Linked DNA regions of Daphnia pulex. The protein of the gene in region 2 binds, or shares a complex with, the protein of the main gene of each other region. Links are inferred from orthologs where the notes say so. Each region holds a gene or a part of one and is shown on either strand. Other genes may lie near its edges.

Region 1 (4,248 bases), on a different chromosome or scaffold from region 2:
GGTGGCTCATTGTGTGTGAGCAATGATCGTGAGTTTTCTAATCATTCGGATGGGGGCTCAACCGAGCCGATCGTAAACATTGGAAACATCTAGAAAACCGATAAAAAAAATTTGAATTGTTTGCAGTCAACTCGTGTAAACCGAATCTCTTGCGTCAATTTGCTTAGTGGACGCCTCACGGATCTCTCCCTAATCCAGATCGATCCCCAAACAACGTAATCAGCGTTTTGTGTAGTCGACATATAGAATATATTTGTATGTATACTGTATATTATATATATACTATATCATTGCTGGTACATACATGTTGCCTACCGAGATAAGGAGAGCTGCGCTAAGGCCGACTGCTGGTAAATAGTGTGCAACGGTAATCGCACCCTTGAGACATACATATGCACGCCTGGACACGTACACATTCGACCTCAGTGAAGGGAACAAATGAGCATAAACAAAATTTCCTTTTTTTTTTTTTTTTTTAGATTAGTTATGTAATGTACAATCATATCTCTCTGGCGAAAGCGATTTTAATTAAATTTTAATTCTTTATTTTTTTTTTTTTCGTTTTAAACATGACTTTTTTTTTAATTGCTCTCTTAATAGTTTACTAGTTTCTTGACAGCTTCGAAGCAACGCCATTTGTCGGGCATGTAGAACGGCTCAAACATGTGCGGGAAAGGTGTGTCGAATCCCGTGACACGCTCAATGGGCGCCTCTAAATTCAGGAAACACTCGTGCTGTTTTCGGGGTAGAAAGAAAGTGTTGAATTAATCAAAGAGAAGCATTGATTGAGATCGTTCACCTTATCATCACAGCCTTTTTATTTTTTAAAAGTTACCTGAATGCTGGCCGCTATTTCAGCTCCAAATCCAGACGTCAATGGCGCTTCATGGGCTATCAACAATCGCCCCGTTTTCTTCACCGACTAGAGAAACATAGTTAGAAAGCGATTAACGAAAAATAATAATCATAATAAAATGGCGAATAGAGTAAAAACAACCAAGATCAATATAAACAAAATGGCGAAAGAGAGGCAAAAAGAAACGACAATCACATTGGATAATAAGTCAACAGGTTTCACTTCCGCGTCTCGCCTCACCGACCCTCCCACAATTCGAATATTTTTGTCCAAACCTGGTCGTTGTGCCCACAATTAGAAATCGGCAGCTCTACTGTTACAACCACCGCAACAACAACAACAACAACAAAAGGGCTGGGTGATAAACGAAAACAGAAATACAATTCCAGCCATTCAGCGCAAATGTCAAGAGAGAAGTTTCACTTAAACCATGTGACTCTCGTTTCGGATTGCTTCAAAATTTCTCATTTTTTATGGTATCTCCCTTTTTTTTAAAAACAATTTTTATTTTTTCCCACAGCAACGGAGAGAAAGGGCATAATGTTCGGGTTACCAACCTGGGCGATGGTCTCCTTGTCCCACGGGAGAATGGTAACCAGATCGATCAGTTCGCACGAAACGTTGAGCTGATCCTTGGCTAGTTGGCAGACTTCGCGCAGAACATGAACCTGGGTGCCCCAGCCGACCAGCGTGATGTCATCTCCTAATGAAATCAGATTAATAAAACCCATATGTTGGCGACGTTTCTCTTTTTATCGTCGGGCGAATAAAATCCCGACATCAAAAATATGTTTATACGTCTCAAAAAAGATAAGACCAACACAACACATGATGATTTGATTATGGACACAAACCTTCGACTAGGATGTCGGCTTTCGACAACGGCATAGTGTACTCTTTGACTGGAACCTGTTCGACGGCGCTACGGTACAGGATCTTGGGTTCGAAGAACAAGCACGGGTTTTTGTCACGAATGCACGACAGGAGCAAGCCCTTGGCCTTGATGGGCCCTCGGGGAACCACAACCTTTTAAAGACAACGTACAGAACCGCATTAAAAACAACAAAAAAAAAACAGTGTCACCTATCATCCATGACAAGAAATTCAGGTTTCACCTTGAGTCCGGGGCAATGAGCAAAGAAAGCTTCAGGGCTTTGGGAGTGGTACACCGCTCCATGCCCTACTGCAGAGCAGGGAGCACGGATGGTCAGAGATCCACAATCATAAATGCCCCCACTCCTGTACCGGTATTTGGCAGCTTCATTGCATATCTGGCAAAAATAATGATTTCGAACAAGACCTGTTTAATGTTTCGAGATAATGAATATAGCTTCAGGCTCTTGAATGATACCTGATCAAATGCTGGAAGGATGTAATCTGCAAACTGAATCTCTGCAATGGCAGTGGCTCCAGCAGTGGCAGCTCCGATACCAAATCCAGCAATTCCTTGCTCACACAGTGGGGTGTTGAAAACTCTGGACTTGCCGTGCTTCTCCTGGAGGCCAACTGTGCAGCGAAACACTCCACCAAATGCAACATCCTCACCAAAGATAACTGCAAGCAAATCAAAATTCTTAAAAAGTGCAAATCAAACCATTTGAATTAATTGTCATGTTTACTTACCAGCAGTTGGATCTTGGGTTAGAGCTATATCAAGTGAATTATTGATGGCCTGAAACAAATTCATCCGCTGAGTTTCACCTGCGTGCGAATCAAATTCATTTTAACGATGCCATGCATTCAATATACATCAAAATTAACCGATTGGCGAACCTTCGGAAGCAGAAACAGTATCTGGAACGAAAGTGAAATGAGACAACCGCTGAGATATTCTTAACGGGCATTTATTGTTGAGAATGAGATTCCGTTTAATGAAAGTACGGAGAGCCATGTTTACACTTAGCAATTTTACGTCGATATCGTCTGATTCCAACTTCCGATTATTCGTTTTTTCATCACTAGAGCTGCCATCTATCGTTGCGAACGGTCATCTCTTGAACCAAACGCAATGCCGTTCCTTGTTGTCTACTCTAATCGATTAGAGCAGCACTTCTTCCTGTTCCGCGGGTCACGAAATAAAAAGTTATCGCCCCCATGTGACCCGGATGGCGTATCAAGTTGGCGAGCGATCATTTACAATTTTTTTTTCTTTTTATCCAGAATTTAGTTCAACATTTAACCGCAATTTTCTCCCAACAAAGAAACCTTACAACTTTTCGTGGGCTAGTATACAAATAGACCCAACACAATTGAACTCGGCCATCAAAATGTAATGAGAATCCATGTTTGCTGTGACGAAATCGATTGGCAATTCAACCTTGAAGGGCATTCGTTGACTGGACGCTCCCAATGTGATAGGATATCAATATGGCATCCCACGAGAGCCCAACATCAACAATCATCCGTCAGGATAATCGCGTACGACTGTAAGTCTAAGCTCACTCGTACATAGTCAAGTCAGTAGTGTGGACCGCAAGTGTAAATAACGGAGAACAACCATTTGATCAGCATCAATTTGTATTTTTTTTATTTTTTTAAGTTTATTACCAGAATGGCGCCTTTATTTGTCGCCTGACCCGTCACTTGAACCGGGCCTATAACCAAGCTATAGACGATCGATAAAATTCGCCGTTCTCATTCCTATTCAAAGTGCACCAGTCCCTGAAAACGATAGTGCGAACATTGACATTTTTTGTCATCAGACATATGGAGTCGAAAATGACGCCGGCCAGCCCAGTCAGCGATCACGATCTACTGACACATCACAATAAGCATGCGCAGAAAAATGGGAACGAGATAGTCGTTTTCCACATTTCGGTGCCGGAAGAAGCCGAGTCGAAAAACACCGGATCGCAGGATCATCGGCAAATGCTGTCCACCAAAGTGTACCCACGGAGATGGCTGATGCTCTTGATTTTCGTCACGGTCTCAATGCTCAACGCCTTCCAATGGATCCAGTTTTCTATCATAACCAGTTTGCTGATCAAGTACAACCTATATCATTATCATACGTATTAAAAGTAGCTACGTACCGAGTTCATATCTTTTTTTGTTTGATGTATCTAGATATTACGGCGTCGATAGTCAAACTGTCAACTGGACGTCATTGGTTTACATGGTGGTTTATGTTCCATTGATATTTCCAGGTGCCTGGGTCATGGATAAAATGGTCAGTCTAGACATGGGAAAACAGGAATTTCAGAGTGCAAATGCTGATAACAGCAGGCCATTGAAAATAATAAATAAATAACTCCCGGGTCTAAATTTATCTCTCAATAGGGTTTACGAGTGACGCTGTTGATTGGAAGTTTGGGGACGGCGGCTGGCGCGTGGGTTAAAGTATTATCCGTCGCTCCCGATCGCTTTTACGTCGCCCTCATCGGTCAAACGAT
Region 2 (3,728 bases):
TTGCCGATTCTGATGATGACGGTAAGCTCTTTAAAATACAAACCTTTTCTCAAAGCACCAGCACGTTCTAAAGCACCTGTCAAATTGTTTATTAGATGATCTGTTCGCCAGCACACCGAAGCTGCATAATCGCCCGAAGCCAGATCCTACTTTAGTTGTAAGCGGTAATAAAGCTGCTGCTACAGCAGCATCTGATCCCCTTCTACATTTCCAACAATGAGTAACGATACCCTCCCTTCGAGCGAGTCTAGTCTCGAAACTAAGTCGGCCTAGGTGCCTTTATTTTCATCATCATGTTGCCCAATATCGTATTAAGAAAGAAACTTTTTAAACTCTTAACATATTCTGTGATTATTCTTTCCTCGTAATTGGCATCCATGGGCATAATTTCTAAATAGAAAGCATTCCATTCGAGGCCTTATTATACTGATCGTGGCCTATAAAACCCAACAAATTTTTCTTCTACAAAGTTATAATTTACTGTATCCCTTTCCAGCATATGTGTATCATTATTGGTAATATTTTCTCGTCTGCTTCATAACATCAATCATCTTTGAACAACGACACAAGTTTACATCTAGAATATCTTAAATCATTAATCTTTCGTGAAGTTCTTTAGTGGATAATGTTCTGCATATTTCTGTACATGCTCTTCCATCTGTTTCATTTGTTCCCTATAAGAAGAGAGATAACACAAAATATATTAATACTTTTGAGTCAGCCAGAAGAAAAAATAAAAGTTTACCTTATGTGGGATGGCATTTCATGGTAAACGTCAGTAAAGATTTCTTTCCAGTTGGGTTTTAGTTTCTTTTCTGCACGGGCGAAGGCCGTCATAACCTGGCGCTTGCAATCCTCCTTCCACTCTTTCTCCTGAAAAGACGTCACCAATGAGATTAAGAAACTTTTATATCTCCATTCCTCGCCATGGTGAGGGCATAGCAAAAACGGTAAGTACCTGAGCATCTCCCCACCATCCTTTTGATAACATATAATTCCTCAGACGGGAAATGGGATGGTCACGCTCATCCCAGTAACGAACTTCATCAACGCTACGGTAGGCAGTGCTGTCGTCTGATGTGCTGTGATGGCCGATTCTGAAAACGATTCAACCAATTAGGTAATTATCATGCACTTTAGGAAATAATCTACCCTTTCACTAACCGATAAGTCATGGCTTCAATTAGGACAGGCCGCATCTCGCTGATAGCCACTTGCCGTGCCTTCAGCGTGGCATTATAAACAGCAAAAACGTCGTTACCATCAACCCTAATGGTCAACATGCCGTAAGCGGGGCCACGGCCGGCAATTCCATCACCACGGTACTGCTCTTTGGAAGGAGTTGAGATGGCGTAACCATTGTTACGACTGATTGGCGCAAAGATGTAAAGGTTAGTGTTATTTCATCATATCGCGTCAAAGTAGAAACACCACTTACCAAAAGAAAATGACTGGGCAATCTAATGTTGCGGAAAAGTTTAGGGCGGCATGAGCATCTCCTTCGCTAGATGTTCCCTCACCAAAGTAACACATGACACACAAACCATTCTGGGATCTCTTGTATGCATAGGCAGCACCCACAGCTTTATTGCAAATAAATAGGGCTTAATGGTTAGGAAACAATTTCTAGAGTTATTTCATCGACAATTACCTTGAGGCATTTGAGTACCCAACGGCGAAGAAATCGTAACGAAATTGAGTTCTTTTGAGCCATAATGTACTGGCATTTGCTTTCCTTTGCCACCATCATCGACATTACCATAGCACTGGTTCATGAACTGATCAAGTGTGAATCCTCTCCACATCAATGTTCCTGATGAAAGAAAACAATTTTAGAATGGTTGAAAAAAGCCTTTGAAGGGTAAACTACTTACCAGCTTCTCTGTACTGTCCAAAAATAAGATCCTTTGGATCTAAGGCAGCTGCACTCCCAATGTGTGTGCCTTCTTCCCCGTAGTTTGTCATGTAGAAAGAAATTCTCCCCTGACGTTGAGATTCATACAAGATTCTATCCATGGTGTTGAGTTGGGTCATGCATTTATACATTTTGATGACCATTTCTTGAGACAACTATTGGGTATGTTAGTCATTAGAGAATTTGTTGCTTTTAATAGGATTATAAAATATTACTTGGGGATCCTGACTAGGGTCTATAACTTTTCCTTTCCTATCCATAACTCTGTAGACTGGGATCCCATCGTAGAGGTCAGGGCGAATGAATTCTAGCTTTTCAGTCCACTGGGAGCGCGAACCGGGAAACTGTGGTCTTTCATCGGAAGAAAATTCTCTTGCAACCTACATTAATGAAATCAATTATTGATTTTCCCTTCAAACAAAAATGTATAACTATATTATACGCACTTGAGAAAGAGAGCCAATGTTGATTCGCTTGCAGTTGGCAGCTACCGAGCGAATACCAAAACGAGCTAGCCGTATGGGTAACATAATGCAGGCTTTTTAATTGATGCGATAAAGTAGAATTTAAAACGCTTCCTCGCCAACAGAGATTTTTCCTCGGTAAAATTTAGTTCAAACGATAACACAGCAGCAGAAGAAATTTCGTCGGAAGAGAAAAATGGTCGGTAGTCGTAGAAAATGACGCCATCTGTAGGTGGACGAATTTAGCTTGTAGTTGTAGCCAAAGTTTTCGATCACGATATTTGCACGATGCTCACGATTTATGGAAAGCGAGACGAATATGTAAAAAAATGAACAAAGAAAGGCGAACCATGCTTTTAAAAGCTTTCGTGCTGATGGAATTTGAAAGCTAGCTCGAAGATCAATGACGTAGGGTCGAAGAATTATTTCAAAAGGATATTGTTCAGACTCCAAACATAAAAATTGATGATTTTTTTTTCAAAGCTGGAATAACTTTCCTGCGCTATCACTTTCTTTCGTGCATACATATTTTCGAGGCTGGCGAAATCAGTGCAAGTTATGTATCACGACTTAATGAGGATGCCGCGCAGCTCTACTATATACATAAGTCTCACTTTCTCTTTTACTTTTTTACGATTCGGTTTCGTGCCGCGAGTTAATCGCCCATAACGGCATTAACAAGAGGATACATCTAGTCCGTGTTTTTTTCTTTTTCTCCTTAAACTTTATTACATGCATTGTACATATTTGTTCTCCGTTGCCCAGGGTTTTTCTCTCCACTCGGCTCTCGTTAAAGTCGGGCGCGTCACACACACACACACCCATATGTGTAGGAAACCGCCTCCAGTTTCGCGGTTAACCGACGAGTGAGAACCACGAGAGAAGACGACGAAATTTACTGCGCGCTAGCGCCATGATTTTTTATTTTTTATTTTTTTCTTATTTTTTATTTGGTTTTATTTTGTTCTCTGAGACCCCCCTTTTCTGGGATCTCGCTACCAGATAGCCTTGTTGTATTGTAGCTCCGTTATTCGAGTGGTTTTCTGTTTGGCTTTTTATTTTATTTTTTTCCCGAGGAAAACAAAACAAAAAAATTGGGTGTCGCAGCGCGTCGACACATGTGAACGATTAAGACATTCACTCGGCGTGAAAGAAAAAAAAGGAGAGAATGGCATTGATGTTACGACACACGACGCCGTTCGTGTCGTTCAAACTCCAATAAGCTCAGAGTATGAATTATTAGAAAGGAGAAGGACAGCGTTACGCAATTCCGAATGAATGGCCTAAAGCCCTGTAATATATATGCCGTCTTTTTTGAACAAAAATCCGCTCCACTTTTGAGAAATGTT

Evidence for each region. The genes of interacting proteins can lie anywhere in the genome.
Region 1: the proteins of 2-oxoisovalerate dehydrogenase subunit alpha, mitochondrial-like (region 2) and 2-oxoisovalerate dehydrogenase subunit beta, mitochondrial-like are in contact, whole or in part, in a crystal structure (PDB 1V16), measured with the Homo sapiens proteins. The link is inferred for Daphnia pulex from reciprocal best matches to the Homo sapiens genes BCKDHA and BCKDHB. Residues at the interface, in NP_000700.1 of Homo sapiens: Phe155, Leu185, Gly186, Lys187, Arg189, Gln190, Gly196, Cys197, Lys198, Phe202, Val203, Thr204, Ser206, Pro208, Thr211, Pro214, Gln215, Val217, Gly218, Ala219, Tyr221, Ala222, Arg225, Gly244, Asp245, Ala248, Asn251, Phe252, Thr255, Leu256; in NP_000047.1 of Homo sapiens: Pro89, Thr90, Val92, Asp117, Arg118, Phe120, Asn121, Thr122, Pro123, Cys125, Gln127, Gly128, Ile129, Gly131, Phe132, Ile134, Gly135, Ile136, Val138, Thr139, Asp158, Gln159, Asn162, Glu163, Ala165, Tyr167, Arg168, Tyr169, Arg170, Ser171.

Annotation. Positions count from the first base shown.
Region 1 is NC_060027.1:5,064,289-5,068,536, forward strand, and holds 2-oxoisovalerate dehydrogenase subunit beta, mitochondrial-like, read right to left. Parts: upstream 2,801-4,248; 5' UTR 2,748-2,800; coding exon 2,630-2,747; intron 2,558-2,629; coding exon 2,480-2,557; intron 2,411-2,479; coding exon 2,208-2,410; intron 2,128-2,207; coding exon 1,972-2,127; intron 1,883-1,971; coding exon 1,711-1,882; intron 1,560-1,710; coding exon 1,414-1,559; intron 923-1,413; coding exon 836-922; intron 735-835; coding exon 594-734; 3' UTR 251-593; downstream 1-250. Other genes in the region: feline leukemia virus subgroup C receptor-related protein 2-like, read left to right, coding at 3,563-3,843, 3,923-4,025, 4,136-4,248. UniProt on the Homo sapiens protein: Together with BCKDHA forms the heterotetrameric E1 subunit of the mitochondrial branched-chain alpha-ketoacid dehydrogenase (BCKD) complex.
Region 2 is NC_060021.1:6,462,788-6,466,515, forward strand, and holds 2-oxoisovalerate dehydrogenase subunit alpha, mitochondrial-like, read right to left. Parts: upstream 2,603-3,728; 5' UTR 2,446-2,602; coding exon 2,362-2,445; intron 2,296-2,361; coding exon 2,131-2,295; intron 2,071-2,130; coding exon 1,875-2,070; intron 1,814-1,874; coding exon 1,652-1,813; intron 1,584-1,651; coding exon 1,439-1,583; intron 1,370-1,438; exon of another isoform or gene 1,369-1,369; coding exon 1,165-1,368; exon of another isoform or gene 1,098-1,164; coding exon 959-1,097; exon of another isoform or gene 874-958; coding exon 746-873; exon of another isoform or gene 675-745; coding exon 596-674; 3' UTR 501-595; downstream 1-500. Other genes in the region: WASH complex subunit 2-like, read left to right, coding at 1-21, 96-220. UniProt on the Homo sapiens protein: Together with BCKDHB forms the heterotetrameric E1 subunit of the mitochondrial branched-chain alpha-ketoacid dehydrogenase (BCKD) complex.